Linked DNA regions of Saccharomyces cerevisiae S288C. The gene in region 1 interacts genetically with each later gene. Each region holds a gene or a part of one and is shown in the gene's direction. Other genes may lie near its edges.

What was found.
Region 2: mutations in CLA4 (region 1) and RPN10 together harm fitness more than expected from each alone (negative genetic interaction), as found in Saccharomyces cerevisiae (7 studies listed by BioGRID, with this or other methods).
Region 3: mutations in CLA4 (region 1) and CHS5 together harm fitness more than expected from each alone (negative genetic interaction), as found in Saccharomyces cerevisiae (7 studies listed by BioGRID, with this or other methods).
Region 4: mutations in CLA4 (region 1) and SLK19 are lethal when combined (synthetic lethality), as found in Saccharomyces cerevisiae (8 studies listed by BioGRID, with this or other methods).

What each region holds. Positions count from the first base shown.
Region 1 is NC_001146.8:65,138-73,677, forward strand, and holds CLA4 (serine/threonine protein kinase CLA4), read left to right. Parts: upstream 1-3,777; coding exon 3,778-6,306; downstream 6,307-8,540. Other genes in the region: TOS6 (Tos6p), read left to right, coding at 607-915; non-canonical poly(A) polymerase TRF5, read left to right, coding at 1,380-3,308; MON2 (Mon2p), read right to left, coding at 6,536-8,540. UniProt on the Saccharomyces cerevisiae protein: Involved in budding and cytokinesis.
Region 2 is NC_001140.6:497,003-503,842, forward strand, and holds RPN10 (proteasome regulatory particle base subunit RPN10), read left to right. Parts: upstream 1-2,076; coding exon 2,077-2,883; downstream 2,884-6,840. Other genes in the region: AIM18 (Aim18p), read right to left, coding at 1-278; AIM46 (Aim46p), read right to left, coding at 488-1,420; NBL1 (borealin), read right to left, coding at 1,569-1,717, 1,785-1,857; PPX1 (exopolyphosphatase), read right to left, coding at 2,948-4,141; SMN1 (Smn1p), read left to right, coding at 5,386-6,840. UniProt on the Saccharomyces cerevisiae protein: Multiubiquitin binding protein.
Region 3 is NC_001144.5:783,470-791,573, forward strand, and holds CHS5 (Chs5p), read left to right. Parts: upstream 1-4,194; coding exon 4,195-6,210; downstream 6,211-8,104. Other genes in the region: nicotinamide-nucleotide adenylyltransferase NMA1, read left to right, coding at 1,444-2,649; REC102 (Rec102p), read left to right, coding at 2,973-3,146, 3,244-3,864; JIP3 (Jip3p), read right to left, coding at 7,200-7,577; MID2 (Mid2p), read left to right, coding at 7,207-8,104. UniProt on the Saccharomyces cerevisiae protein: Component of the CHS5/6 complex which mediates export of specific cargo proteins, including chitin synthase CHS3. Also involved in targeting FUS1 to sites of polarized growth.
Region 4 is NC_001147.6:711,244-719,420, forward strand, and holds SLK19 (Slk19p), read left to right. Parts: upstream 1-1,622; coding exon 1,623-4,088; downstream 4,089-8,177. Other genes in the region: PEX27 (Pex27p), read left to right, coding at 1-333; TOA1 (transcription initiation factor IIA large subunit), read right to left, coding at 440-1,300; LIP5 (lipoate synthase), read right to left, coding at 4,350-5,594; Ca(2+)-dependent cysteine protease MCA1, read left to right, coding at 5,843-7,141; BFR1 (Bfr1p), read right to left, coding at 7,410-8,177. UniProt on the Saccharomyces cerevisiae protein: Has a role in spindle assembly and stability. Required to ensure a timely exit form mitosis. Essential to maintain pre-anaphase spindle polarity. Associates to the plus ends of the microtubules at the kinetochore and spindle midzone.

The sequences.
Region 1 (8,540 bases):
GGACAAGGCACTTCTTGAATACTTCCCAAGGAAAGCGCCAAGGTTTACGGTTCTGATGGGAATGCAGGGGGGAATCTAGTCTTGAAGTATCCTTATTCCTTAAAAAAAATATTGGACATCCTCTTCGAAATTAACAACGACGCCAAAAACTTGTCTATGTTTTCAAAACCGCGCGTCACGAAAAAGCAGGAAGCACAAAGAAGTGACGCGAAAATGACGGTATATATAGCCATTAGCAGTCGCCAAAAGGTGAAGATCCTGACACGAAATGTAGCAGAGTCACTACATTGATACTGATCTTGTACTTCCGAATAAGGCACCGCCAGATCAATTCTGTCTGATTTTGGCGTCTTCTGGTATAGTCTTGTAATGAACGGTGGTGATTCTCGAGGAAAATAAAATTCGTGATAAATACATGCATGTGTATATATAAGGCGCTATATATGGCCTTGAAACTTTGTTATTACGCCTACTCCATCTTTATTGGTACATATATCATTTAAAAGAGTAGTCCATAGAAAACCAACTGCATTCCTTCCTTATCCCTGCCTTCGGCTAATTTTAAACCAACTTTTTACCTTCCTTTAATATCAATATCAAAATACAATGAAATTCTCTACTCTCTCCACCGTTGCTGCCATTGCCGCATTTGCTTCCGCAGATTCCACCTCTGATGGTGTCACTTACGTAGATGTTACCACCACCCCACAAAGTACTACATCTATGGTCTCCACCGTGAAAACTACTTCCACTCCATACACTACAAGTACCATTGCCACTCTATCCACTAAATCTATCAGTAGCCAAGCTAACACCACCACCCATGAGATCAGCACATACGTCGGCGCTGCCGTTAAAGGCTCCGTTGCGGGTATGGGTGCCATCATGGGTGCTGCTGCCTTTGCTTTGTTATAAGTTGCATGGACAACTTAAACTAGGAAGGATATTCCGCTTCATTTCATTAATTTCACATTTTTTTATCTACATGATATGTATTTTCCCTCAGTTACCAGATTCGCTAGCTTCGAAGCAAGGACTCCTTGGTCATACTTAATAAAGGAACGTCTGCTTCATTCTCCTAAAGTTCCTTTCGATAAGGACGCAGAAGGCACCTTACTAGACCATTGTATAAACTCATAACTACATACTAATTCAACGATATGTTACATTTATTTTCTTGTGGTTACCCCCCGCAAATTTCCAGGCATCTCATCTCATCGCAGTTAAAAAAAAAAAAGTTGTAAAAAGGTAATAAAGCGATACTTGATGAAAGCAAACATCTGTAATAACAGTTCACAAGGTTAAGCTGGTTCGTTTCACTAGCGTATCATTTTTTATTTTTCAAATAAACAAACGAGGGCGGAGTTTATTGGGTCGTCATGACAAGGCTCAAAGCAAAATATTCACCTACAAAAGGTAAAAGAAAAGAAGATAAACATACAAAACGTATGCGTAAATCATCCTTCACAAGAACGCAAAAAATGCTTGAAGTATTTAACGATAATCGCTCGCATTTTAACAAGTACGAGAGCCTCGCTATCGACGTTGAAGACGATGACACTTTCGGAAACCTAGTCTTAATGGAAAATGATAAAAGTGATGTCGACATACCTGTAATAGAAGAAGTCACATCAAGTGAAGATGAACAAAGGGCAGAATCTAGCAAAAGAAACAATTCTCTCGAAGATAATCAAGATTTTATTGCTTTTTCGGACAGCTCTGAAGATGAAACAGAACAAATAAAGGAAGATGATGATGAAAGAAGCAGTTTTCTGTTGACCGATGAACATGAAGTTTCTAAGCTTACTTCACAGCAATCTCTGAACACTGAAAGCGCTTGCAATGTGGAGTATCCTTGGATAAGAAATCATTGTCATTCGAAACAAAGGAGAATAGCAGATTGGCTAACTTCAGAAATCAAAGATTTCGTTCATTATATCTCTCCAAGCAAGAACGAAATCAAGTGCAGAAATAGAACGATCGATAAACTACGCCGGGCGGTCAAGGAACTGTGGTCGGATGCAGATTTGCATGTGTTTGGTTCTTTTGCCACCGATTTATATTTGCCGGGTTCTGACATTGACTGTGTCGTAAACAGCCGGAATCGCGATAAAGAGGACAGAAATTACATTTATGAATTGGCGAGACATTTGAAAAACAAAGGGCTAGCTATAAGAATGGAGGTTATTGTTAAAACGCGAGTGCCTATTATCAAATTCATAGAGCCCCAATCACAGTTACATATCGACGTTTCATTTGAAAGAACGAACGGGTTAGAGGCTGCAAAACTCATCAGGGAATGGCTAAGAGACTCTCCAGGGTTACGTGAACTGGTACTGATAATAAAACAATTTTTGCATTCAAGACGATTGAACAATGTGCACACAGGAGGATTGGGAGGTTTCACAGTAATCTGTTTGGTTTATTCTTTTTTAAATATGCATCCGCGAATAAAATCAAACGATATCGACGTTCTAGATAACCTGGGTGTTCTACTGATTGACTTCTTCGAACTTTACGGAAAAAATTTTGGTTATGATGACGTTGCTATAAGCATATCTGATGGTTACGCCTCTTATATTCCTAAATCGTGTTGGAGAACTTTGGAACCTTCAAGGAGTAAATTCTCGCTAGCTATTCAAGATCCTGGTGATCCTAACAATAATATAAGCAGAGGCTCCTTTAATATGAAGGATATAAAAAAGGCCTTTGCTGGTGCCTTCGAACTGTTGGTCAATAAATGCTGGGAATTGAATTCTGCTACATTCAAAGACCGCGTTGGAAAAAGTATACTCGGAAACGTGATCAAATACCGTGGGCAAAAGAGAGATTTCAACGACGAAAGAGATTTAGTGCAGAATAAAGCCATCATTGAAAACGAGCGCTACCACAAGAGGCGCACGAGGATAGTTCAAGAAGATTTATTTATAAACGACACCGAAGACTTGCCAGTAGAGGAGATCTACAAACTTGACGAACCTGCAAAGAAGAAACAGAAGGCAAAAAAGGATAAGAGAGAAGGGGAAATCAAAAAGAGTGCCATTCCATCTCCACCTCCGGATTTTGGAGTGAGCAGAAGCAAATTGAAACGCAAAGTGAAAAAAACTGATCAGGGCTCTCTCCTACACCAAAACAACCTCAGCATAGATGACTTGATGGGACTTTCTGAGAATGATCAAGAATCCGATCAAGATCAAAAAGGAAGAGATACCCCTTCGGGACAAGATGAGAAATCACCACTGGAAACTAAGACAGTAGATGCTCAAACGAGAAGGGACTACTGGCTCTCTAAAGGCCAGGCTCTTTAACACAATATAGACTCTTATAGACTATTTACTATTTATACAAGAATACCACATCGATGTCCAAGTGAAACAATAAGCTAATGATATCAAACGCGTGGGTATTTTCCCTTTCCGGAAATATAGAGCCACCAAAAAAGGATAGTTTCCCGATATGGAAATTTTCTCGAGCCGGTAAGATGACGAAATTTTTCATCTCTGGCATGATAGAAACATAGTATGGAACGTGCAGGAGAGTCTGATTCGAGACACATAATTTGAAAGAACCTTCTAGCCTGAGCCTTGTACATGTATTAGCGTTGCCAGTTATTTGCTTCTGCTGCTAATAAGATCAAAACCTTAAGTCCTTTATTTCGATCGAACGTACTGCGCTACTGAAAACCATTGCATCTTTTGCTATCATTCATTCCTGGTGGTTTCTTTGGTGTAATAAATCGAACAGTGAAACTGAAACATAAAAGAAATAGTGCAAAATATGTCTCTTTCAGCTGCAGCGAATAAGATATCTGACAACGATTTCCAAAATATCGGACCGGCACCTAGACCTCCCAGTTCAAATAGCCAGGGCCGTACTTGCTATAATCAAACGCAACCTATAACCAAACTTATGAGTCAACTGGATTTAACATCAGCGTCCCATTTAGGTACAAGTACCTCCAAAAAAAAAAGCGGGTGGGTGTCCTACAAAGATGACGGTATACTTTCATTTATATGGCAAAAGAGATACCTGATGCTACACGATTCGTATGTAGCCCTTTACAAGAACGATAAACAAAATGACGATGCGATCTTGAAGATACCACTAACTAGTATTATAAGTGTAAGCAGGACACAGTTGAAACAATATTGTTTTGAGTTGGTGCGCTGCAGTGACCGAAATTCTGTATCATCAGGATCCTCGTCCTCTTTGAATGTATCATCAGACAGTAACTCCAAAAAATCAATATACATTGCTACAAAGACAGAAAGCGATTTGCATAGTTGGTTAGACGCCATTTTTGCTAAATGTCCATTATTAAGTGGTGTATCTTCTCCAACAAACTTCACACATAAAGTTCACGTTGGTTTTGATCCAGAAACAGGTAGTTTTGTTGGTATGCCCACCAACTGGGAAAAATTATTAAAGCACTCCAGAATTACAGGAGAAGATTGGAACAATAATTCTGCGGCTGTCATTCAAGTGTTGCAGTTTTATCAAGAGTATAATGGAGCCGGAAATCCCACAAATACTTTAGACAAGCCTCAAAGTGGTGAAACTTCCTCCTCTCAAAAATCGCTGCCAAACAGCTATAATGATAACAAACTCAGAAATAATTCAGTAAATTCAAAGTCATCTTCAGGCGTTTCTTCAAGTATGGTATCACAGAGGAAAACCTCACAACCACCAAATACCAAATCGCCTGTTTCTCTAGGAAGCGGCTCACTGCCACCAATAAATACAAAATTGCCCACTAGTCAGTCAAATATTCCAAGACACTTACAAAATGTTCCCAACCAACAATATCCTAAGATGAGAAACGGACACTCCCCAACCAATGGCCAATTTCCTAGGGGACCTATGCATCCAAACAATTCTCAACGATCTTTGCAGCAGCAGCAGCAGCAGCAGCAGCAACAAAAACAACAGCATCAACAATATCCATACCACCATCAAGGACCATCTCCATCTCCATCCCCATCTCCGTCTCCATTAAACCCTTATAGGCCACATCACAATATGATAAATCCTTATTCCAAACAACCTCAATCGCCATTAAGTTCACAGTCGACCCAAAACCAAGCAATTCCACGTTATGCACAAAACTCAAGTCCTACAGCCGCACACTTTCAACCTCAAAGAACAGCTCCAAAGCCACCAATATCAGCTCCAAGGGCGCCATACCCATCAAATCAAAATGCTACTAGTAACACACATGTACAGCCTGTTGCACCTAAGAATGACCAGTCAACCCCACAAACAATGAGGCAGGCCCCAAAGAGACCGGATGCAGATGTCGCACAACCGGGTGGTGTGGCCAAACCGAAGAAGCCAGCAAGGCCTACCATGTCAACTGCAGAAATAATGAGTAAGCTGAAGAAAGTCACCGTAAATGCGGATCCATCTCAATGCTTTAAAGTGATCGAGAAGGCCGGTCAAGGTGCAAGTGGGTCCGTCTACCTTGCAGAGAGGACGCATATTCCGACAGAAAGTAATATGATCGAACTCATAAACAATGATATTGATGAGCCGCACGTAGGAGATAAAGTTGCTATCAAGCAAATGGTCTTATCTAAACAACCTCGTAAAGAACTCATAGTGAATGAAATTTTGGTTATGAAGGATTCACGTCATAAAAATATCGTCAATTTTCTCGAGGCTTATTTGAGAACAGACGATGACCTATGGGTTGTGATGGAGTTTATGGAAGGAGGTTCACTAACAGACATTATCGAGAATAGTCCCACCAACGATAATTCACATTCACCACTAACAGAACCCCAAATTGCATATATCGTACGAGAAACTTGCCAAGGCTTGAAATTTCTACACGACAAGCATATCATTCATAGGGATATTAAATCAGATAATGTCTTGCTGGACACTAGAGCTAGGGTGAAAATTACCGATTTTGGGTTTTGCGCCAGATTAACTGATAAAAGAAGCAAAAGAGCCACTATGGTTGGGACACCTTACTGGATGGCACCTGAAGTTGTCAAACAACGTGAATACGATGAAAAGATTGACGTATGGTCTTTGGGTATCATGACCATTGAAATGCTGGAGGGTGAACCACCATATTTAAATGAAGATCCACTAAAGGCGTTGTACTTAATTGCAACTAATGGTACACCAAAGCTCAAGCATCCAGAAAGTTTGTCTTTAGAAATTAAACGCTTTCTAAGCGTTTGCCTTTGCGTAGATGTTAGATATAGGGCATCAACCGAAGAGCTTTTACACCACGGTTTTTTCAATATGGCATGTGATCCAAAGGATTTGACATCACTGTTGGAGTGGAAGGAATGAAGCACACAACTATTTCTATAAGCATATCATACATACTACAATCTTATGTATTTCTTTTCTTTTAGCTATGCATACCAATGGCATAATATATAAATACGTTCACCTTAAAAGTTTTTTTTTTAAAGTAAATAAAAAAAGACCTGCAACGATACAATAATCAATCCAATGTCGTTTAATATTACTATTTATCCTACGTGATTTTTAAAAATATTCGTCCATGCTTCAGCTTCTAGTCTAGTTTCGTAAATCCAAGTGATAATTCCAAAACTTTATCTTGGAGGCCATCCATTTTATGAGATACTGGGATGGTTCTTAAAATCAACGGACTTAATGTTTGTAGGTTTTCAACTCCAATTTGTTTGTTGCCAAGGGTCGAATTTTGATCTAGAACACCTCTTAAAATCACGCATAGCCCATTTAATAGAGTAGCTAGTTCTGTTTTACGCAATTTTGGTATTGGTGCTCGCCCAATCAAGTATTCATCTGAGATATATCTTCTAAGAGCAAGGGCAATTCTTGCAGAAAGATAAGGAGCAGTTAACTTTCTTAATTTCTCGTTTGTGTTCAACATAAAATTAACCAAATCTTGCAAGCACTCTAAAGAGCACTTATATTTTGTCTGAAAGCGAGGATTTGTGGTGGATCCAAATATACATGAAAAATCGAACGAAGATAGTTTTTGAGACAATTCAGAAAACGTACCACAGTCTTGCATCAAAGCATTTTCTAATTCATCGAATTCATATAAAAATGAACAATCCCAGACGGCATAAATGAAAGTGTCTAATTGCCTTTCATTGAAGAGATCAATGATTCTGTTTTCCAGCAATATCTCCCTATATTTGGAATACTCATTCAAATCGTCTATCTCGGTTAAATTATCGAGCTCTGGGTTGATTCTTTGTAATGTGACAACAATAACATTTATAAATAAATCACAAAAGTTATCCTTTAATGGATTTTCTGCATCTTCTTGGAGTGATTTGAAAATTTTGTTCGACAAATCACAGAAGCAATTGGAAGCAAGAACCCATATGGGGATTTCATCACTCTCTGACCCTGTAATAAGCGATTTTCGCTTGATGATTTCAGCCAAATTTTTCAATATTCTTAAAATATGCTTTGCTTTCAGTGTGGATATACCAAATTGATCTATTTTTGCTATTCTATTTCTCAGGTTAGAACATGACATATAGCTGATTGCCTCAAAAGTTGGTAACCTGTTAAGTGATGCTTTTGGAAGCTTTGGTCCAAGTTTTTTTGTTATTTTTTCCCTTGTATCAAAAGCCAATATCGATATTGTACTTAACTGGAGAAGAATCAAAATTTCTGTATCTTTAGAATCATTTGTCATAAATATATCAAGTCCAGACAATATGGCCTTTTGCATAGAGGACGGTTTAGTTTTGTCTTGGACAAACTCAGGTAAGAGAGGATATTTTATGGCAGAATTGAATAAAAGAAGAACTTTTTCCACAAATTCATCTGTCATCGCATCGTATTTCGATATTAATTGGTAAAGAGGAGGAAATCCGGTTATTAGTTCGTATATACAATCGTATTCAGTTTTGCTCGATGCGTTTGTGGAGAGATCACTGTACGTAATATTGTAGTCGGTAAATATTTCGCAGCACTTTTTCAATATATCTGATGGAACGTCCTCAATAGTGATGATTTCTTTCAGCAGGGTTTGATAATTTAATATTACAGCATTCTTGGTATTATTAGAAGTGGAAGACAACAATCTTTTCAAAAAATCTAATAACATTGACCATTCCTTGGCGCAGGTAGTGTTGTTTTTGAAGTCCTTAAAGTGTTCCGGATAAAGCTTAATTAATCCTTGCAATGTTACATTTATAAAATCAGTTTCATTTTCGAGTTCTTCAGTGGACCATTCCTTGGTAAGCAGTGGTTCAATAACCTCTAAGAAAATTAGGTCCCATGGGGGGAAGCAAACAGAATGGGAGTCGATGATTCTGAAAAAAGTCTGCACAGCACCGTTTTTAACTTCTACTCTATCATCATTAGTACAATTGATCAAATTTTTCAAAAGATATATCCATAATCCGTTGTAAAGTTCCCAATCATGAGATGAACTGGATGTAATGATTTCAATTAATTTTTGATTATTAATCTTTTCGGAGAGACTTCTACGTTTCTCATCACTTAAATTTAATGTTTCGGGATTGAAGCGGACTCTGAGATAATCTCCAACTAACCAGAACTGACTAATA
Region 2 (6,840 bases), on another chromosome or scaffold:
ACCTGTATCGATTCAGTATGAGAAGGAAAAGCATCAGTTTTATCGTCATTTTGTACCGGACGATCACGGTAGTATAACGAAGTAGCGAGCAATGTTGACGCCGCAAACCAGGGCCAATAGTGGAACGTCGAATTAGAACGCCCAGGGTATTTAGTGGCTCGTATACTAGTAAAATTTCTTTTGAAACATTGCCAATGGTTGGTTGATGGAGATTTCTGACATTTAGCTAGTGTTCGCTGGAGTGATTTTAGCATATTGGCGCACCTTCCTCTGTCCATGAAGGGATTCTATCGCGGTTGTAACGCCGTAAGAGTTTTGAATTGATTTTTTCTTGTCAAAACCGAATAGCATTGTAAACATTTTGAGGGGTCCCTCCTAGAAAAATTGAGTCGAAAGGAAACTCAAAAAAACATCATTAGAGTATATGTGCAGCTTTTGGAACAGCGTATGTATTATGTAATTGTATGTAGAAGTCGGCGAAAGTGTCCTAAGATAGAGAGACGAGTGCATCGATTACTTCCTTCCTAGCCTCCGGAGAAGGAGGATCCACAGCAGCTAGGTAGTGGGCAAATAAGAGCTTTCCAATAAGGGGTTCCTTCACTGTGCCCAATATCACAAATTCATCCTTCTTTCTTGCGTAGTAAGACAAATTCATAGAGCAGTCCTTATTCAGCTCAATGAAAAAATCATCATCTCGAGCCACAAGTCCTTTTACGCTCCTGAAACAGTCATGCAATTCTTGGAATCCAGCTTCCAGCCGGTCTTTGTCTTGAGACTGAGAATCTGGGTTCTTTAGGACGCTCTTTTTGGTGCCGTCCATCAATAACTTGAAGGAACCTGCTTTTATCGGAGTATTCTTGGACATTAGTCTGATTCCGCTGTCTAAGAGGTTATTAATCAGGATAGGGGCCTTAGCAGGATCGTTCAAAGCCGCACGCAAATTATCCTGATGTGAGTTTTCCGGTGATGGGGGTGCCGCAGTGTCGATGAACGCCTGAGACAGGAACTTTGAGTCCAGTACTTCAGAGACCAGATGTTTGTCTTCAGCGGCCACATATATGCCCAGACCATATGCTTTGAAAGTGATCGATGAGACACAACGTACACCCTTACCAATCAGCTCATATTGCGTGGAGAAGGGCCACTGTGGGGGGCCCATCTTCTTAGGGAACGCAGAGATGGATGCGTCCACTGCAACGCTGGTGGCATCCGCCTTTTTGATCTGGGAATCGTCATACCATTTCTTCGCGAATATGGATGCCAGTGCTAACCCTGTTAACACAGGCACTACTTTGCTGCCCTTCTTGTTCACACGAGCATTGCCCGCTGTAGTAGAGTAGTGAGAATACCATTGTGGGGCCCTCCTCATACCTACCTCTAGGCAATTTGTTTTCACCAAAACTTTACTGATTAAACGCATGTTTCCATATACCTGGCCTTCTGCTAAGTAGACATGTATTCAACAAGGGGATGTAACCACACGCTGCTTTAATACCAACAAATCGGCCGCTGATTAGTAATAGGTGCATCATTGCGAATACCGAGAAAGGGTCCATTATACGAACTAATCATTCTATACGGCGTCCTTCCTGTTCAAGCACCTCTCTGATTAGTTCCTTTGATTGAGGCGCTGATGTTGCATCAGGCTGCTGGAGCAGATTTAGTTTCTTTAACGTCTCCTCTTTAATATTTTCGATCAGTTTTTCTGTTGTTTCCACTGAGGTTGTGTTAGTAATTAGTGCGGGTGAAGGTTGGGGGTAGAGTGTTGCGGTGAGGTGACATACGTTCCAGCTGCATTCGATGTAGTATTGCGCTGCGCAACTTCTGCCGTTCTTCGGGAGTGAGAGCCGGTATCATCGTAACCGAGTGCGGCAGCTGCCCTTTTGCTGATGTTGTTGCCACTTCTTGTTTACAATTGTATTCTCTTGAAGTTATATGGCATTATAGCTGCCGGGTTATTTCCGCCAGGCGGGTTTTCGCCACCGGAATTTACAACTAAATACACACTTATATCAGACTTTTAAAGCGTAAAGAAAGAAGGGAAAAGTCAATAAATAACTCAGCAGTAACCGCACAATGGTATTGGAAGCTACAGTGTTAGTGATTGATAATTCAGAGTACTCTCGCAATGGCGACTTTCCTAGGACAAGGTTTGAAGCCCAGATCGACTCGGTAGAGTTCATATTTCAAGCCAAGAGAAACAGCAATCCTGAGAATACAGTGGGTCTTATCTCTGGTGCTGGCGCCAACCCCAGGGTGTTATCTACGTTTACCGCCGAGTTTGGGAAGATTCTTGCTGGACTACACGACACGCAGATCGAGGGTAAGCTGCATATGGCCACTGCGTTGCAGATCGCTCAGCTGACTTTGAAGCATCGCCAGAATAAGGTCCAACATCAAAGGATTGTGGCATTTGTGTGTAGCCCAATAAGTGATTCTCGAGACGAATTGATCAGATTGGCAAAAACACTGAAAAAGAATAATGTTGCCGTGGACATCATCAATTTTGGAGAGATTGAACAGAACACGGAGCTTTTGGATGAGTTCATAGCTGCAGTGAACAACCCTCAAGAAGAAACTAGTCATTTGCTTACTGTGACGCCTGGCCCCAGACTGCTGTACGAGAACATCGCATCTTCACCCATAATTCTCGAAGAAGGATCCTCCGGTATGGGCGCCTTTGGTGGGTCTGGCGGTGATTCCGATGCCAATGGCACATTTATGGACTTCGGGGTAGACCCATCAATGGACCCAGAACTGGCAATGGCCTTGCGTCTGTCTATGGAAGAAGAGCAGCAAAGACAGGAAAGGTTAAGACAGCAGCAACAACAACAAGATCAGCCTGAGCAGTCTGAACAGCCTGAACAACACCAAGACAAATAGTAGTGTACAAAAATATCTATATGGGTCATATATAAACCAAATAAAGCATATATAACATCTCCCTTCACTCTTCCAGGTTTGAGTACGCTTCCTCTAAATAGGGGACGACTTGCTTTCTGGTGGCCTCGACGTTCAGTTGCTTAAACATCGCCACACCTCCATCAAGATTGCCCCCAAATAATTGAAGTTGGAGCTTGTCGCTAACCCTTTCAATGAGTTCACGTACCACGTTAGAGTCTCCCAATATGACCAATTCTCTGTGTGAATCACCAGCTTTCCTCCATGAAGTCAACAGAACCAATACATCGAGCCCCCTCTCCGCCTGAAATCTTCTGCATTGGTTGACGAAATCTGCTTCACCACCGTGTTCATTGAATAGCCAAGACATTCTTTTTACTATTGATGAAAGACCAATCTCTAACCCTTTGTGTCCCTTTCCTTGGAAATTGAATTGTTTGTAGTCCTTCTTTAGAATATCGCTTACCGAAAATCCTTTAATATCGTTCTTTCTTGATTTTATCTCTTTATAAAACTCACTGCTGTCCTCTAAACCTTGCGCAGACACTTCATTAACCGCACCACTAAGAACAGCTTGGCATCTCTCGATAGCTAATTTATCACTTTCCTCGACTTTGCGCCTCATATTTGAAGTGTCTATTAAGATGGCCCCCATCAAAAGTGGTGCAATGTTCATCACCACTTCACGGTCACCTTGCAATTTTTCATACCAGTAGTTAAAAACCAGCGATGAGCAACTGCCGGACACTTTTACAATCCGAGGTTCAGCATCCAAATGTTTTTGCAAGTCAAAATGGTGGTCTATAATGCCAACGACGTTATCTATATAATTTTTCAAATTCTTTGGTGTATCGTTATTATCTACCAAGTAAGAGTTTAATTCAGTACCCTGGGAGACATTTTGCTTCAAGCTCTTTAAATCTTCAATGAAGAATAATTCCTCCTCCTTAATTTTCAGTTTTTCTAGGACATACATTACGTCTCTTCTTAAACTGAGGTCTTCTCTAGGAATGTCGATAATTGGGACAATAAAGCTTCCTTTCTTTTTCTCCTCCGAGTAAGTACCTTCATTATATATGTATTGGCAGTACGAATAAGTGATTGCACTAGCAATTGAGTCCATATCTGCTGACTCGTTACCAACACATATTGTTAACACATCGTTGCTTGCAATTTTTGAAATTGGCAGTGATTTTAAGTGTGCCAAAAATTCAGGAACCGTCTTTCTCAAAGGCGACATCTTTCTTAACAATCGGTGTTTTGAACTTTTTGATTATTTGTTTCAAGTGGCTTTAGTTAATTATGTACACTTCGTTTCTTTTTTCTACTCTTAAAAGTGAAAAAAATGAAAAATCAGCGGCATGTATAGCATACAGATAATAGGAAAAAGGTTGTGAGTTATTCTTCGAGACTATTTCGACTCGTATTCTAAATTAGAATTCAAGTAGGTGGATAATGTGACAAAATGAATGAAGGTTAGAGCTTTACACAGAGTATTATCCTCGGCGTTTTCTATCAAAGCTTCTGGTTATTCCATACTTTTTTCAAGGACAGCAGAAACATATGCCATTTTACACCTCCTGGGAAAATAATTTGTAATTTTCTAGTGACTCAATGCTTGTTGAAAGTGATCTTGTATAATGAGTGTACACATGAGATGTGCAAATTTCTTCATTACTTAGCGAGAAGTGTACACTCTTGAATATAATAACACTAACAGTGGAATCATCGGTAATAATAATACTATTGATCGTAGTGAAAGCAAAACACGACTGTACTTGAGTTATAAATTTTGTTGCTGTAGAAATTTCAGTGATCATTCATTAGCAACTTATTAAGATGACGATTATATTTTACGGTTCTTTTCACAAACCATTATACTTGCTAAAGGTTGTAAAAGTCATACACTTTTTAACATCAAGATTTCAGTACAACAATTTCTTACATGTAAAATCGTTTGCAAATTAAGTTCGCCAAATTGTATCTTAATTAAAATCTATGTGTTCAGAAGTTGAATATTGGTAAAAAGAAACAAAATGTATAAACGAACGAAAAAGGAAGTGATCAAAATAGAGTAAGGAACCAAGGCATTAGGTTCACCCGAACGTTATCATATATACGCTCATATTATTCCAAGAAAGACACATTTGTCTAGATAGGTTTCGGTAAAGGCGTCCGTAGTTAGAGAGTAGATGGCACTAACTTGAAAGCAGGAAAACAAACAATTGTGTTCCAGAGCAAACTCGAACTTTCTATCTGAACCATTGCATGACGTAAAATTATTATTACAACCATAATGAAACATTTCTACAGTATATCTTTAATATTATTTTTTACTTTAGTGTCCTTATCGATCAGTCGCTCTTTCGCCAACTAGCCGCCAATTGCAAAAGCCGATAAGCTTATTTCCCCTCAAGCCGTCAACAAGAACTACAGCAATAACAAAGAGAGTGAATGCAATAAAGGTGTGCGCAACAGTGTAAAATGATACTAAAGCTTGTACACTGTTTAGTTGCTCTTACAGGATTAATCTTTGCAAAGCCGTATCAACAACAACAGGCAGTTTTAGCGCCGTCGCAGGATGTACCATTAAGAGATATCCATATAGGGGATATAAATTTTATCCATACAACCGATACTCATGGCTGGTTGGGGTCCCATCTATCACAAAACGACTATGATGCTGACTGGGGAGATTTCGTTGCATTTGTAGATATACTTAGAGAAAAAATTTTACGACAGTCCAGAGACGTAATAGTCATCGACACTGGCGACAAACGAGACGGTAATGGTTTGAGTGATGCTACTTGGCCCCCCGGCCTACGAAGCTCGGAGATATTCAACATGATGGATTACGATCTTTTAACGTTAGGTAATCATGAGCTATATACAGCTGAAAGTGCCATACTAGAGTATAGAGGAACTTCTCAGTCCTCAAAATTCAAAGACAAATATGTTTGCAGCAACGTAGAATTTATTGAAGATGACGGAACAAGGGTTCCTTTCGGGAATAAATACATTACATTCGAGACTCCCATAATGAAACAAAGAGTCCTGGCATTATCATTTTTGTTTAGTTTTCAAAGAGCAAATAACAGAGCCATCGTAACACCACCATTGGAAGAAATAACTCAAAAAAGCTGGTTCCAAAATATGGTTGAGACAAACAGAGAGGAGGAAATCGACCTAATTATTGTCTTTGGTCATTTGCCTGCCACTGACCCTACAGAGCGTGAAATGCACAAAATTCATGCTCTAATAAGGAAATACTACCCAAATACTGTTATACAATATTTTGGAGGGCACACTCATATCAGGGATTTTGTACAGCTGGACTCAAAATCTACTTGTTTACAAAGTGGTAGATTTGCGGAAACTGTGGGATTCTTGTCAATTAATATGACTGACCCTGTGGACGCCGAAAGTCCTATTTTCTCAAGAAGGTATATTGACTTTAACAAGGAAGCTTTCAAATACCATTTGAGCAAACTAGGGCATGACTCGAATGTTCCAGTCTCAACGAAAAAGGGTAAAACTATTTCTCGTTTGGTGAATGATCTGCGCCATGAACTAAATTTGAACGAGAAACTGGGGTACATTCCTCAAACTTACTACGTTTCAACAAGGCCATTAAACTCCGAAGAGAATCTTTATCATTTGATCACGCATAAGATTTTACCCAATTTAATTCCTCCCAAAAACTATGAACCTTCGATGAGTCGTTTCATTTTGATTAACACTGGCTCTGTCAGGTACGATCTTTACAAAGGCCCATTTACAAAGGATACTGAGTATATAGTGATGCCATTCAATAATGATTGGCGCTTCATCACAGTTCCATTGGTCGTTGCCTCCAGGGTGGAAACCTATTTGAACAAGGGCCCTGTCATTGCCTCATTAGGAATACCATCATCGTCTCATCACAAACAGCATTTTGGC
Region 3 (8,104 bases), on another chromosome or scaffold:
TGCTGTGCTTATAATAAACATTACATAATAAAAGGAGTAGAAGAAAGTGGTAGAGAGGAGTACAAATCTACCTGCCAGAACTCTCTCCTTATATATATTTCCAGTGGTGTCTGGATTACCTACCTCAAGCCATACCATATCCATACCATATCCATAAACGCCTACAAAATTTCTACCCCAATCCAGCAGCTTCTATCACTATCTCGTATACCACCATAGGCACCACCACTGTTTGTGTAAATTTACTCCTGAGGGGGGGGTGGCTCAACACGGTGTAGGCCTTCTTCCCGCACAATCCGATGAAACCCCACAATCGCCTCCGTCTCTTCCACTGTGCACGGCGCTAGCTCAACATCTTCCCCGCCACATTTACTGTGGCAAAGAAGGTGCATAATCTAAAAAAACATACGTATGAGAATGGAAAGGGCAAGATAATATCGGACCGTAGTGAGTCACTTGCTTTTGGTATTGCAACCAACTGCCGCCCCTCTTCCCGCTCTTGCACCAAAACGCTAAATGCCCATTGTGATGGCTCATCCACCCTCACGACGAAGTAAGACCCGGGGCACAAGAAAATACGAGATCATAACAGTTCGAGTCCGTTTATTGTGTGCGGTTTTGGTACGCTTTTTCGTGAGGTGTACTACCATTCATGAGAGTCGTTTTAGGAGCTGTCATGAAAGATATGTATCTTGTTGATGAACTGTAAAAATTTGCAGAAATTGCGCTATTCCGTTTATTTCATTGTCGATTCGGTGTTAATATTAGGGGTACAAAATATACTAGAAGTTCTCCCTCGAGGATATAGGAATGCGCAAATGGGCATTTGATGTGACACAAAATTTGGACAATATAACGATTCATTTTTAGATCGTTGTTCAACCGTCCCAGTGGCCGAGTGGTTAAGGCGATGCCTGCTATTTCCTCAGAAAAGCAATTAGGCATTGGGTTTTACCTGCGCAGGTTCGAATCCTGTCTGTGACGCTTTTTTTAATTTCTTTACTCCATGACAAAAGCGGATAAAAATTCCCGCATTCGGCGTAAAAAAATCCGGTTTTTTTTTTAGCACTCGCTGTTTTTGCCTCTACCGGGTGAAAAATGACGATGAAGACGGCTGGAATTGCGCTGCATCCGCTTACGTAGGATAGAACACCTACAAAGATTTACGAACTTTATTGCTCGAAGATTCGCTATCCATATCTTTTTAGTTTCCCCCCATTTCACAATGGGATACCGTTGTTTTTTCTGTAGGTACGCTTTCTCATAGTTAATAGAGTCAGTAATTCATTTCATTTTTTGCAGAAAGGAATTTCTTCACCTAATTTAGAATTTCATCAACATTTATTGTATCTGCATGGTATAACAAATTAGAAAAATTTGGAAGGGAAAAAAAAACTGTTGCGTCAATTACTTATACCAGGGATAGAAAAAAAAAAAGGAAACATGGATCCCACAAGAGCTCCGGATTTCAAACCGCCATCTGCAGACGAGGAATTGATTCCTCCACCCGACCCGGAATCTAAAATTCCCAAATCTATTCCAATTATTCCATACGTCTTAGCCGATGCGAATTCCTCTATAGATGCACCTTTTAATATTAAGAGGAAGAAAAAGCATCCTAAGCATCATCATCACCATCATCACAGTCGTAAAGAAGGCAATGATAAAAAACATCAGCATATTCCATTGAACCAAGACGACTTTCAACCACTTTCCGCAGAAGTGTCTTCCGAAGATGATGACGCGGATTTTAGATCCAAGGAGAGATACGGTTCAGATTCAACCACAGAATCAGAAACTAGAGGTGTTCAGAAATATCAGATTGCTGATTTAGAAGAAGTTCCACATGGAATCGTTCGTCAAGCAAGAACCTTGGAAGACTACGAATTCCCCTCACACAGATTATCGAAAAAATTACTGGATCCAAATAAACTGCCGTTAGTAATAGTAGCATGTGGGTCTTTTTCACCAATCACCTACTTGCATCTAAGAATGTTTGAAATGGCTTTAGATGCAATCTCTGAACAAACAAGGTTTGAAGTCATAGGTGGATATTACTCCCCTGTTAGTGATAACTATCAAAAGCAAGGCTTGGCCCCATCCTACCATAGAGTACGTATGTGTGAATTGGCCTGCGAAAGAACCTCATCTTGGTTGATGGTGGATGCATGGGAGTCATTGCAACCTTCATACACAAGAACTGCCAAGGTCTTGGATCATTTCAATCACGAAATCAATATTAAGAGAGGTGGTGTAGCTACTGTTACTGGAGAAAAAATTGGTGTGAAAATAATGTTGCTGGCTGGTGGTGACCTAATAGAGTCAATGGGTGAACCAAACGTTTGGGCGGACGCCGATTTACATCACATTCTCGGTAATTACGGTTGTTTGATTGTCGAACGTACTGGTTCTGATGTAAGGTCTTTTTTGTTATCCCATGATATTATGTATGAACATAGAAGGAATATTCTTATCATCAAGCAACTCATCTATAATGATATTTCTTCCACGAAAGTTCGTCTATTTATCAGACGCGCCATGTCTGTACAATATTTGTTACCTAATTCGGTCATCAGGTATATCCAAGAACATAGACTATATGTGGACCAAACCGAACCTGTTAAGCAAGTTCTTGGAAACAAAGAATGATTTGCCGTCCGGAATTGCTTCGTTCTTTCTTTCATCTTTCTCTTTACAATTTCCAATTTTCCCCTACAGGAATTAATTGGAGGGTACAAGCGAGTAGAAATGTGACATATGACTTACCTATCTGTGTTTTAGTATAGTTTTTTTTTCTGTAGTATAATTCACTTTTACACTAATTTTTTCGCCTTTTTCTCTTAAAGAGCTAATTTCTATAACCTTCAGCGGTTATACCAAATATAAAAAATGGAAGGAAAACAAACAGTAAGAAATAAGCGCAACAGCACGTTAGTTCACCATTGGATTCCAACATTTCAAAATTTAATCTAATGGCAAGAGATATCACATTTTTGACCGTATTTTTAGAAAGTTGTGGCGCTGTAAATAATGATGAGGCAGGAAAATTGTTATCTGCTTGGACTTCAACCGTACGCATTGAGGGACCGGAATCAACCGACTCTAATTCATTATATATTCCACTGCTACCACCTGGAATGTTGAAAGTATGTTTCTCCTAGCAAAATTAAAACCCATCCGTGAATGAAGCGTTACTAACTATAATAACTGGTAGCTTTGTCACTCGTACCAGGAAAAGTGAAGATTAAACTGAATTTTAAAATGAACGATCGATTAGTTACGGAAGAGCAAGAGTTGTTTACAAAATTGCGCGAGATTGTAGGTTCAAGTATTCGCTTTTGGGAGGAACAACTGTTTTATCAAGTTCAAGATGTAAGCACCATAGAAAACCACGTCATTCTCAGTTTAAAATGTACAATTTTAACGGATGCTCAGATAAGTACGTTCATAAGCAAACCCAGAGAGCTTCATACGCATGCCAAAGGATATCCTGAAATCTATTACCTTTCCGAGTTATCAACAACTGTCAATTTTTTTTCTAAAGAGGGAAACTATGTCGAAATAAGCCAGGTTATTCCTCATTTTAATGAATATTTTTCCTCTTTAATAGTGTCTCAATTGGAATTTGAATACCCGATGGTCTTCTCCATGATTTCAAGGCTCCGATTGAAGTGGCAACAAAGTTCGCTCGCTCCGATATCCTACGCCCTAACGAGCAATTCAGTACTTCTTCCAATAATGCTTAACATGATTGCCCAAGACAAATCTTCAACAACCGCGTATCAAATTCTGTGTCGAAGAAGAGGTCCTCCAATTCAGAATTTTCAAATTTTTTCCTTACCGGCTGTAACGTACAATAAGTAGCATGCATAAAATATAATTTAATCAAATACTTTTGGGCAATTAAAATTTTAGTTAACAATAGTTATGCAATGCGCTTTATGTTCATATGATACCGTTTATAAGCTATTGCCATATCCTTATCTTATTGCTTCCAGTAGCCTCGAGTCGACCACTAAAAAGATGTCACTTAAGACGGAAATTATGTAGCTGCACTTCTTTTTTAACAAGTTCGGTCGGCCCTTCAAGTTCTCCTTTCTAAAGCCTCATTATTTATTGCGTAGATGCTAAATGTTATCGCGGTTTAGCTTGCATGTTACGTTTCCGTTTTAGAACCTGGTCGAGTAGCGAATAATGTCTTCAGTTGATGTACTGTTAACAGTAGGTAAGTTGGATGCCTCATTGGCGTTACTGACTACTCAGGATCATCATGTTATTGAGTTTCCTACAGTATTATTACCAGAAAATGTTAAAGCTGGATCTATCATAAAAATGCAAGTTTCACAAAATTTAGAGGAGGAAAAAAAACAAAGGAATCATTTTAAGAGTATACAAGCCAAAATTTTGGAGAAGTATGGTACCCATAAACCGGAGAGCCCAGTTTTGAAAATTGTTAACGTTACGCAAACGAGCTGTGTTCTAGCATGGGATCCATTGAAACTTGGCTCAGCAAAATTGAAATCACTGATCCTTTATAGGAAGGGAATACGTTCAATGGTAATTCCAAATCCATTCAAAGTGACTACCACGAAAATATCCGGTCTTTCCGTTGATACGCCATACGAATTTCAATTGAAACTGATAACCACGTCAGGAACATTATGGTCTGAAAAGGTTATATTGCGTACACATAAGATGACTGACATGTCTGGTATCACTGTATGTTTGGGTCCATTGGATCCATTGAAAGAAATTTCAGACTTACAGATATCCCAATGTTTGTCTCACATCGGGGCGAGACCTTTACAACGTCATGTTGCGATAGATACTACGCATTTTGTCTGTAACGATCTAGACAATGAAGAAAGCAATGAAGAGCTTATAAGGGCAAAACATAACAACATACCAATTGTCAGACCGGAATGGGTGAGAGCTTGTGAGGTTGAGAAAAGAATCGTTGGTGTTAGAGGATTTTACTTAGATGCAGATCAAAGTATACTGAAAAACTACACATTCCCACCAGTTAATGAGGAAGAACTTTCGTACTCAAAGGAGAATGAGCCGGTAGCCGAAGTAGCGGATGAAAATAAGATGCCCGAGGACACAACAGATGTCGAACAGGTTGCATCACCTAATGACAATGAGAGTAATCCTTCAGAAGCTAAGGAACAAGGAGAAAAGAGTGGACATGAAACTGCCCCAGTAAGTCCTGTAGAAGATCCATTGCATGCTTCGACGGCTTTGGAGAATGAAACCACCATCGAAACCGTCAACCCCTCCGTAAGAAGTTTGAAAAGCGAACCTGTTGGTACTCCCAATATAGAGGAAAACAAAGCGGACTCTTCCGCAGAAGCCGTGGTAGAAGAACCGAATGAAGCTGTGGCTGAAAGTTCTCCAAATGAAGAAGCAACGGGACAGAAAAGTGAGGATACCGATACACATTCTAACGAACAAGCTGATAATGGATTTGTACAGACTGAAGAAGTAGCTGAAAACAACATAACCACAGAAAGTGCAGGGGAAAATAACGAACCTGCAGATGATGCAGCAATGGAATTTGGACGTCCAGAAGCTGAAATTGAAACTCCAGAAGTAAATGAGTCTATAGAAGATGCCAATGAACCTGCGGAGGATTCCAATGAACCTGTGGAGGATTCCAACAAACCTGTGAAGGATTCCAACAAACCTGTGGAGGATTCCAACAAACCTGTGGAGGATTCCAACAAACCTGTGGAGGATTCCAACAAACCTGTGGAGGATGCCAATGAACCTGTGGAAGATACCAGTGAACCTGTGGAGGATGCCGGTGAACCCGTACAAGAAACCAACGAGTTTACTACCGACATTGCCTCTCCAAGACATCAAGAAGAAGATATAGAACTTGAAGCCGAACCTAAAGATGCTACCGAAAGTGTTGCAGTCGAGCCATCCAATGAAGATGTAAAACCAGAAGAAAAAGGTTCAGAGGCAGAAGACGATATCAACAACGTTTCCAAGGAGGCTGCCTCTGGTGAGAGTACTACCCACCAAAAAACTGAGGCCTCTGCTTCTCTTGAAAGCAGTGCCGTCACGGAAGAACAAGAGACAACGGAAGCCGAAGTAAATACAGATGACGTTTTGTCCACTAAAGAAGCTAAAAAAAATACTGGCAACAGCAACAGTAATAAGAAGAAGAATAAGAAGAATAAGAAGAAAGGGAAAAAGAAATGATTAATGGATGCCTTCAATGAGTTCCACGACGCACGTTTATTTTTTCGACTGAGAATCCCTCAGCAAATATAATCTATTTTTTATATATCTGTGTATATGTAAGCATGTATAACTAGTTACAAATATGATAACTGCTTTGGCGATCACTTCATTTTCTTGAGAGGGGTACTCAGTAGCCGCCAAGCACGAAATGTCCGTTATTAAAAATTGGGGAGTGAATCTTAAAAGCCCGAAAAGGAAATTCAAAATCTGTCTATTTATAGGCCGTCGCGCTCTACGAAAACGCGAAATTATTCAAACGGAAAACGGAAAAAAATCTAAAAAAAGAAATTAATTGAGAGATCTCACGGAAATGCCGCGAGGAATGTTTCTCGAGGCTGAGCGGCGTGGTCTGTGCAAAAAAATGGCAATTTTTTTGTAGGAGTTTGCATTGGGCCATTCAGAAGGAGCACCGTTAGATGGGATGGTAAATGAATTTGCTGTTTCAGATTTGAATCAATCTTTACCCGTTATTTTTGCCGTTTTGCTTTCATAATCTGCAAATTAACAAAGTCATAAAGAACATAAAGACATCACCCCAGTTTTTACACTCTTTTTTCCTGTGTTTGGTTTAGCACAACTTTCCAATAACCAAGTTGGTTTCAGATCATCCCCATATTATTTTCTAGTTTCATTTACTTACCAAACTCACCATTCAAGGCTTTCAAATTAAGTTACGAGTACAGTGGACCATTTTTTTCTGATTCTTCATATTTTCCGTTATAAGTCTTATAAGGAAGGTATACATTTATATTGCGAATTTGAAAAATAATTTAAAGCTGACTTTGCGTTTTAGGTAGGCTAGAAAAGAATACAACTATCCCTAAACACATTCTAGATTCACGAAGACGCCTCTGCCTCAAAGACATACTATATTTTTACTCTCGTTGAACAAATAGTACCATTATTTCGCTACTTTCGTTGAAGATTGGACATATAAAATACGCAAATCATAGTATGTTGTCTTTCACAACCAAGAATAGTTTCCGCTTATTACTTTTAATACTGTCATGCATATCGACGATACGCGCACAATTTTTCGTGCAATCATCATCTTCGAATTCTTCAGCAGTATCTACTGCACGTTCTTCCGTAAGTAGAGTTAGTTCTTCAAGTTCCATTTTGTCATCCAGTATGGTTTCTTCCTCAAGTGCTGACTCATCTTCCCTTACTTCATCGACATCAAGTAGGTCCCTCGTGTCACATACGAGTTCGTCTACCAGCATTGCCTCCATATCGTTCACATCATTCAGTTTCTCATCAGATTCAAGCACCAGCAGCTCTTCCTCTGCTTCTTCAGATTCTTCATCCTCCTCATCCTTTTCCATCTCTTCGACATCCGCAACTTCTGAATCATCGACGTCTTCTACGCAAACGTCAACATCATCTTCATCCTCACTGTCGTCAACGCCGTCCTCTTCATCATCCCCATCAACAATCACTTCTGCACCTTCAACCTCCTCCACACCATCCACTACTGCCTATAATCAAGGAAGCACTATCACCAGTATTATTAACGGTAAGACGATTCTCTCAAATCATTATACTACCGTTACGTACACACCATCAGCAACCGCTGATTCAAGCAATAAATCCAAAAGTTCGGGTCTTTCTAAAAAAAATAGAAACATCGTCATTGGTTGTGTGGTTGGTATTGGTGTACCACTGATTCTGGTGATACTGGCTTTAATTTACATGTTTTGTATCCAATCATCAAGGACGGACTTTATTGACTCAGATGGTAAGGTCGTTACGGCATATAGAGCTAACAAATTTACGAAATGGTGGTATATGCTTTTGGGTAAGAAAGTTAGTGATGAATACCACTCCGATTCACCATTAGGTGGTAGTGCAT
Region 4 (8,177 bases), on another chromosome or scaffold:
ATTGAACAATGGCGACAGCTAATAAGAGATGAAATTTATTTAAGTATCTATAATACCAGTGGTAATGCAATAAAGGAATACGAGTTAAAGTACAAACTACCTACCAATGACAAAGTCAATTTGGAGTTACGGAAAAATAATATTACATTGGATTTTTATAAGATAATACTAAACTTATTGTCTAATCTAATTAATATTAAAGGTAAAAGGGACAAATATAACTCAGAGCTAGCTTACGAAATAATTTCAGTAGGTTCCGGTGTTACTGAACTCCTTAAGCTATGGAACCGAGCCAAAGTCACTTCGGCTAATGAACATACAAGCGCTGTTTGACAACAGATGACCAAGTTCGTTGCATCCCTCTTTATTTCGTTTTTTTAGTTTGATATTATAGTACTTGTATATATACATTTTTTCTTCTTTACGTCTAAAGATTTAGTTATACCCACTCCGCTTCCACTTGAGCTTTTTGGAATGTGTAGTCATTTCTATTGATGGTCACCACACCATCTTTCAGACTACATTTCCATCTCGCCTTTGTTCTTGTGACTTTATCATATAAGCACAGCATTAAGTTCTCATCTGGCCCATCCTCTTCACCCTCCGAAATTAGATAGTCATCGTCGGAATCATCTAGTTCTGAACCGACCTCATCCGTATCTAATAATGCACTTCTTTTTTCCTTCTTCGCTTGTAATTTTACTTGTTCTATCTGCTCCTTTTCCTTGCGGGTTTTTTCCACGTCCTCCTCCTTTTCCTCGTCGTCTTTCTTCTCACTTTCATCATCTATGTTTTCGACGGTAGTTATATTGGCATTATTAATAGTAAGTTCTATTTCCGGTTTTACTTCAATTTTAGGCTGGCTAGTTACGTCCGCATTTGTATTACCACTAGTATTTGTGTTCAAGGTAGCACCTGAATTATTAGTTGCTTCTACCGTATTCGTATTAATATTGGTCTCTCCAGAGTGCGGTATGTTGTTGTTGGAATTGATATTTGGCAAAATTAGACCTTCATTACCGGTATTCTCCTCCTTAATATTGAACTCGCTAGAATTTACGCCGGGGGTAGCAAGATTGAAATTTAAGTCGTTCTGTACACCATTGATATTTCCTTCATTGAACTGATTGTCCCATGAAAAAGTAGTTACCTTCGTCTCTGTGAGCTTTTTTTGCCAAATATTTTTTAGGTCTTGTAAAGTTTGTTCATCGATACCCGCATTTTCAAAGTCCTCTCTTACTTCATTTACCACAGACTCTACGATAATCTCGTACACTCTGCTGGCCTCTGCATTCGACATGATATCCAACGATGTCCCTTGTGTATGGCCTTGATTTGTGTGATACTATCGCTTTTCTTCTTTGAGCTTGCCCCCGATAATATGCCGTATGGCTTTATCCACCTTGTTATTTGGCTTCTTCATCTTTTCTTCAACTGTCTCACATCATACTTGACGAAGCTTTTTTTCGCGTTAATTTATATTCTTTATTTATTTATTTATAATTCAGAGTGTACGATGAGTTCCTCTTTAATGGTTCATTTGAAGGACACTAACTAAAAAGAGCATCATTGGTGTCAAGGGGCACCCAGTTAAAAAAGGTTTTGAGCACATATCGTAATTCATGAACGAAGTTCCTACCACTCCAGTTAGGCTTATTTTAGGGCAAGCTCAGCAACGCGAGCAGAATTCAGAAAACTGTTCGCAAGAACGTAACCCACGCACGTTTAATTCCGAACCGGATTCCAGCTTTAACTCTCCTGGTTCCTCCCAGTTCGTGATACATCCTCATGAACCGCTCGAGAAGGAGAAAGATGAGAAGCAGGATTTAGACCGCTCGATTGATTACGGTAGGTCATCAGCTCTTAACAACAAGAATAATGCCAATCCATTAGAGAATATAGACATAAATAAAATGTTTGATGACAAAAAATCAGATTCAGGTACCAATGATGATAAAGGAGGCGCAAGTACTAGTGATAAGCATGTCCTTGCATTGAATTATTCACCGATCAGAGTTGAAATGAACTCCTCAGAGAAACGAAGCGACAAAAACGTGGACGTAGATGAAAATGATAAAGAAGGTAGCCATATTAATAAAAAATTGAAATTGCAGTTAGAATCAGTACCTGATTTGAAACAAAGCTCTACTAAAGATATCATTAATGACAAAGAAGAAATTATGTCGTCTCCAATGGCGATTGATATGATTGAGACCAACATAAGCCCAAATAAATTCATAATAAACGACGGAGTTGAAAGAAACGATAGTTTCAATATCAATACCGACACACTTAAATTAGAAAATGATATAAATGAGAAACAACAAGAGGAAGACTTCATAAAATCTAACAGTAACAATGTGGTTAATATTGACAATGCTTATAAGGAAAAGGAGGACGAAGAAAATGATATAACAAATTCTCATATAAACAGGCTTACTCCTTTGTATGAGACTTCTGCAAGGGAGTCGAACTCAAATGAAGAGGGGAGGAATGACTACGATGATGACAACCAACTTGATATTAGACATGACAATTTTCAGATTGTAGCAAAAAGAAACGAGGAGCTCACTGATCAGATATATCACTTAAATCAAATGTTAAACTCTTTGATTTCCAAAAATGAATCATTGTCTTTTCAATACGAGAAATTGAACAAAAATCACCAACTACTAATAGATTTGACAAATGAAAAGTTAGATAAACTAAATACAGAAAGAGAGAGCGATATTGCCAAGGTGGAAAAATTCAAAAAGAGGATTAAGGAGTTGAATACAGAAATTAAGGTATTGAATTCCAACCAAAAAATATTACAAGAAAAATTCGATGCCTCAATTACTGAAGTAAATCATATAAAGGGCGAACATGAAAATACTGTCAACACTTTGCAGCAAAATGAGAAAATTTTAAATGATAAAAATGTAGAACTGGAAAATATGAAAGCAGAATTGAAAGGCAATAATGATAAATTATCCGAATATGAGACCACGTTAAATGACTTGAATTCTCGCATTGTGCAACTGAATGATAAGATTGAAAGCACAGATATTGTTTTGAAATCTAAAGAGAACGAACTAGATAATTTAAAATTGAGTTTGAAGGAAACTTTATCGATTTCTAAGGACTTCAACGACTCTGACCTTATAGGACAAATTAATGAGCTAATATCTACAAAAAACAACTTGCAACAAAAAATGGATGATTTGAATAACCTGAACGACGATAATTTGAAGGTAGTACAGGATAAATTAATTAAAAATGAGGAGACGCTAAAACTAAAAGAAGCTGAAATTGATTCATTGAATAGTGAAATGGACGAGCTAAAAAAACAGATCACTTCAAAAGATGATGAATTTAAGATGTGGCAAAGTAAATACGAAACTGTCGAAGACGAAGCTAAGATACGCAATGCCGAAGTTACAGAGTTGAACGGAGATATTGAAGATCTAAAGGAATCAAAATTGCATTTGGAAGAAACAATTACGGAACTAGAAAACAAAGTTCATAAACTAGAAAATGAGTGTGAACTGGAGAAACAAAAATTCGAAAAAACTTCGCTAGAATTAGAAAGCTTACAACTAAAAAATAGTAACATTCAGGCTGAGCACATCAAAGAATTGGAAAATCTTCATGAAAACCTTATTTCTCTTCAAAATGAATTGAAGATTTCATCCGACAGGATAACAACATTAACAAAAGAAAATGAAGTATTAATGGAACAAAATAATAATAACAATAATAGCGTTACTTTAAGCAATGATCAAAAGGATAGAGATGATGAAAAAATTAAATCATTAGGAAAACAAGTACAAGATTGGAAAGAAAAGTATGAGGCCAAAGAAAAAGATACAAATAAAAGGCTAAAGTTATTAGCAGAAGATTTGTATATCCAGTATTCATCCAAACACGAACAAAAGGTCAAACTGTTGAAAAAAGGCTATGAAAACAAGTACCAAAATAAGTTTGATCAATTAAATTTAGAAAATAAAACTCTGTCAGAAGAAATCGAGCAATTGAACAAGCAGCTGTCTTCAGAAAGAGAAGAAAAGCAGGAGTTACTCAAGTTGTTAGAAAATGAAAAAAAATAAACGCATTTTTTTCTTTTGCATTTTATCTTTTCCCTTAATATGTCATGAGAATAAAATATTAAGGATATACCGTAAATATACAAATTCGTATCGAATATTTGATATTGTTTCCTAACTTTTCTGTGTTAAAAATAAATATGCAAAAACATACTAACCATAAAAATAAATAAAATACAAGATATAAATAAATAATCCAGCAAGCAAAGACATTGCGGTCCATGCCATAATTGTTTTCTTCCAACTATTAGATTTCAGTGTGCATTATTTCATGTTTCTTTTCTTCAAAACGTTCTCAATAAATGCTTCACCAGCCTTATATGACGATCTTACTAGGGGTCCAGATGCACAATACAAGAATCCCATCTCTAAAGCTCTCTCTTTCCAGTAGTCAAACTTTTCGGGTTTCACATATTCTACGACTTTCATATGTCTCTTGGTTGGCCTCATATATTGACCAAATGTAACAACATCACATTGAATATTGCGCAAATCCTTCAAAGTTTGAGTAATTTGCTCATCAGTTTCTCCTAGACCCAGCATTATTGATGTTTTAGTAATCAGTGACGGAACCGTAGCTTTTGCCCTTTCTAAAACACTCAAAGACTGTCTATAAGTAGCTCTTCTGTCTCTGACATGTGGTGTTAGTGATTCAACTGTTTCCAAATTATGTGCGTAAACATCAAGCCCACATTGTGCCATAATGTCCACCATCTTCAAATCACCTCTGAAATCACCAGAAAGAGTCTCTACAAGAGTATTTGGTGCCTTCTGTTTGATTTTGCGAACCGTCTCGGCCAGGTGATTAGCACCACCATCGACTAAATCGTCCCTATCAACGGTAGTTAAAACAACATAACCCAACCCCCATCTTTTGATAGCTTCGGCAGTATTTTCGGGCTCCATTGGGTCCGGCTTACTAGGCGTTCTATTGGTCTTCACAGAACAAAACCTACATCCACGAGTGCAAGTATCACCAAGCAGCATAATTGTTGCCGTTGCCTTAGATTTATCTTTGCCTCCCCAACATTCACCAATATTGGGACATCTTGCCTCCTCACAAACAGTACTCAGGCCTAATTCTTTTACGTCGCCTTTCAATTTATGGTAATTGGTACCCTTAGGAATAGGAACCTTAAGCCAACGAGGTAGTTTTTTAGCTTCCTCTGTATTTTGCCTTGCCTTCTCCAGAGGGTCCAAGATCATTTTCGAAGCTTTACCTGAAACAAAATCTGCAAAAGATGGACCCAAATTAAGAGCATCTTTGAACTCTGTAATTCTTTTTCTGTTCCCCTTGCGTCTTTTTCCCGAAGTCCCTGTTAACTGACTGGTTGCATTTTCAACCTCAGTTGAATTTCCAACTGGTACCCTAACGCTAGCGTTATCTGAATCAGTATTCAATGCATTGGATCTTATTGGCCGAGTTGCGCTCGTTCCACACCTAATAGTGGACGAAATCCATCTTGTATTTCTCCCAACAAATAGTACTCCAACAGATCGTCTATACATTATTGTGGCTTAACAGTTCTCCTTAAAATCCACATAACTGACAAAACTGGATACTTAATGCCCATCGAGTCATATACATATATTTGATTACTACAAGTGCTTTTCAAATAACTGCTTCGAGAAAAGCGTCCGGGTAATAACAACTATTGAAAAAGCATGGCTTCGCATTAATAGGAGCCAAAAATATGAAGATGAGCCTCGAAGTTTATCTAAACTACCACCAAAGAAGACCGACTAGATTTACAATCATGTATCCAGGTAGTGGACGTTACACCTACAACAACGCTGGTGGTAATAATGGCTACCAACGGCCCATGGCTCCTCCACCTAACCAGCAGTATGGACAGCAATATGGTCAGCAATATGAACAGCAGTATGGACAGCAATATGGGCAACAAAATGATCAGCAATTCAGTCAGCAATATGCTCCACCACCAGGTCCTCCCCCTATGGCTTATAACAGGCCTGTGTATCCCCCCCCTCAATTCCAGCAGGAACAGGCAAAGGCACAATTAAGCAACGGCTACAACAATCCTAATGTAAACGCATCCAATATGTACGGTCCACCCCAGAATATGTCATTACCTCCACCTCAAACACAAACTATTCAAGGTACAGACCAACCTTATCAGTATTCTCAATGTACTGGGCGTAGAAAGGCTTTGATTATCGGTATAAACTACATAGGTTCAAAAAATCAACTGCGTGGTTGTATCAATGATGCTCATAACATCTTCAACTTTTTGACTAATGGGTACGGTTACAGTTCAGATGACATTGTCATATTAACTGATGATCAGAACGATTTGGTCAGGGTTCCCACTAGGGCTAATATGATTAGGGCCATGCAATGGTTGGTCAAGGATGCGCAACCCAATGATTCTTTGTTCCTTCATTATTCTGGACATGGTGGCCAAACTGAAGATTTGGATGGGGACGAAGAAGATGGGATGGATGATGTTATATATCCGGTCGATTTCGAAACTCAAGGGCCAATTATCGACGATGAAATGCACGATATAATGGTGAAGCCCTTACAACAAGGTGTTAGACTAACAGCATTGTTTGACTCTTGTCATTCGGGTACAGTGTTGGATCTTCCATATACCTATTCTACTAAGGGTATTATTAAGGAGCCCAATATTTGGAAGGATGTTGGCCAAGATGGCCTGCAAGCAGCTATTTCATATGCCACAGGAAACAGGGCTGCTTTGATTGGTTCTTTAGGTTCTATATTCAAGACCGTTAAGGGAGGTATGGGCAATAATGTGGATAGAGAACGCGTGAGACAGATCAAATTCTCAGCAGCAGATGTTGTTATGTTATCAGGTTCGAAGGATAATCAAACTTCTGCAGATGCTGTCGAAGATGGGCAAAATACAGGTGCAATGTCCCACGCCTTCATCAAGGTTATGACTTTACAACCACAGCAATCATATTTATCTCTTTTACAGAACATGAGGAAAGAATTGGCTGGTAAGTATTCTCAAAAACCACAATTATCATCGTCACACCCTATTGACGTAAATCTGCAATTTATTATGTAGAAATATATGAATGTGTACGTTGGTAGATGTATTCAGACTGGTGTAGTATGTGATTCAATTTTTATTTTTTTAGAAAGCAGAAACAATCTAAGCTATTAATACTATATACATATAGGCAAAGATATATAGGGAATAGGCATTTTGGAAAATAAGACCATGTGTTTTTTTAACGTAGTGAATACTAAGTACAGAAAAAAACATCACCTCAACCAAAGAAAAATTAAGTAATGAAGAAAGATCAGGAGAAAAATTTTTTTCTACTTCAGGTTTAATTTTCTTTATCTTTTTCAGACTCTTCCTGTTCTTTCAATCTTTTTTCTTCCAATTCCTTTTTTACTTGTTGCTCTTTGTTAGAGTAGTCCAAATTTAATTTCTCAATTTCCTTTTCGACAGATTCAATGTTTTGTTTTGTTTGCTCTTCTTGTTTCGACAAAAGCTCTTCATGCTTCTTCTTCAATTGCTCAACGGTGATCTTGACATCATCACTGTTGATTGGGACAGTTACGTCTAATTCGGCCAAAGTAGCAATTAGTGTTGGTTCTAAAGTAAACTTGCCATCGACTTTGTTGAAAATAGAAGCAGGTTGCTCATTTTCAGTGTTCTTCTGTTGGTTCTTCTTCTTGTATTTCTTAGATTTAGATGGAGCAACATTGACAAAATCATCCTTCTTTGGAGTGACCAAAACCAAATCATCAGCAACAACTTTTCTGGCAGGCTTGGTCTCCAAAGCATTGCTACTCAAGTCAGGCAGGATGTTTTTCTTTGGTTTCACATAAGTTGGGTCCAGGACAAGCAAAGAATTCTCAATGGCACCGATTTCATAAGTGAAGGCTGGAATCTTGGCATGAGTCAACTTTTCTTGCAATTTACCCATATCAACATCTTTCTGTTCCAAAAGTTTGGATAATCTTTGTTCTTCTTCACGTTTCAAACGTTCTTTGTCCAATTTGGCTCTGAATGATTTGAATTCGTTGTCAAAGTCAGCTCTGATCTGTCTGATTTGACTGTATAATTCGTCACGCTTCTTGTACAAGGC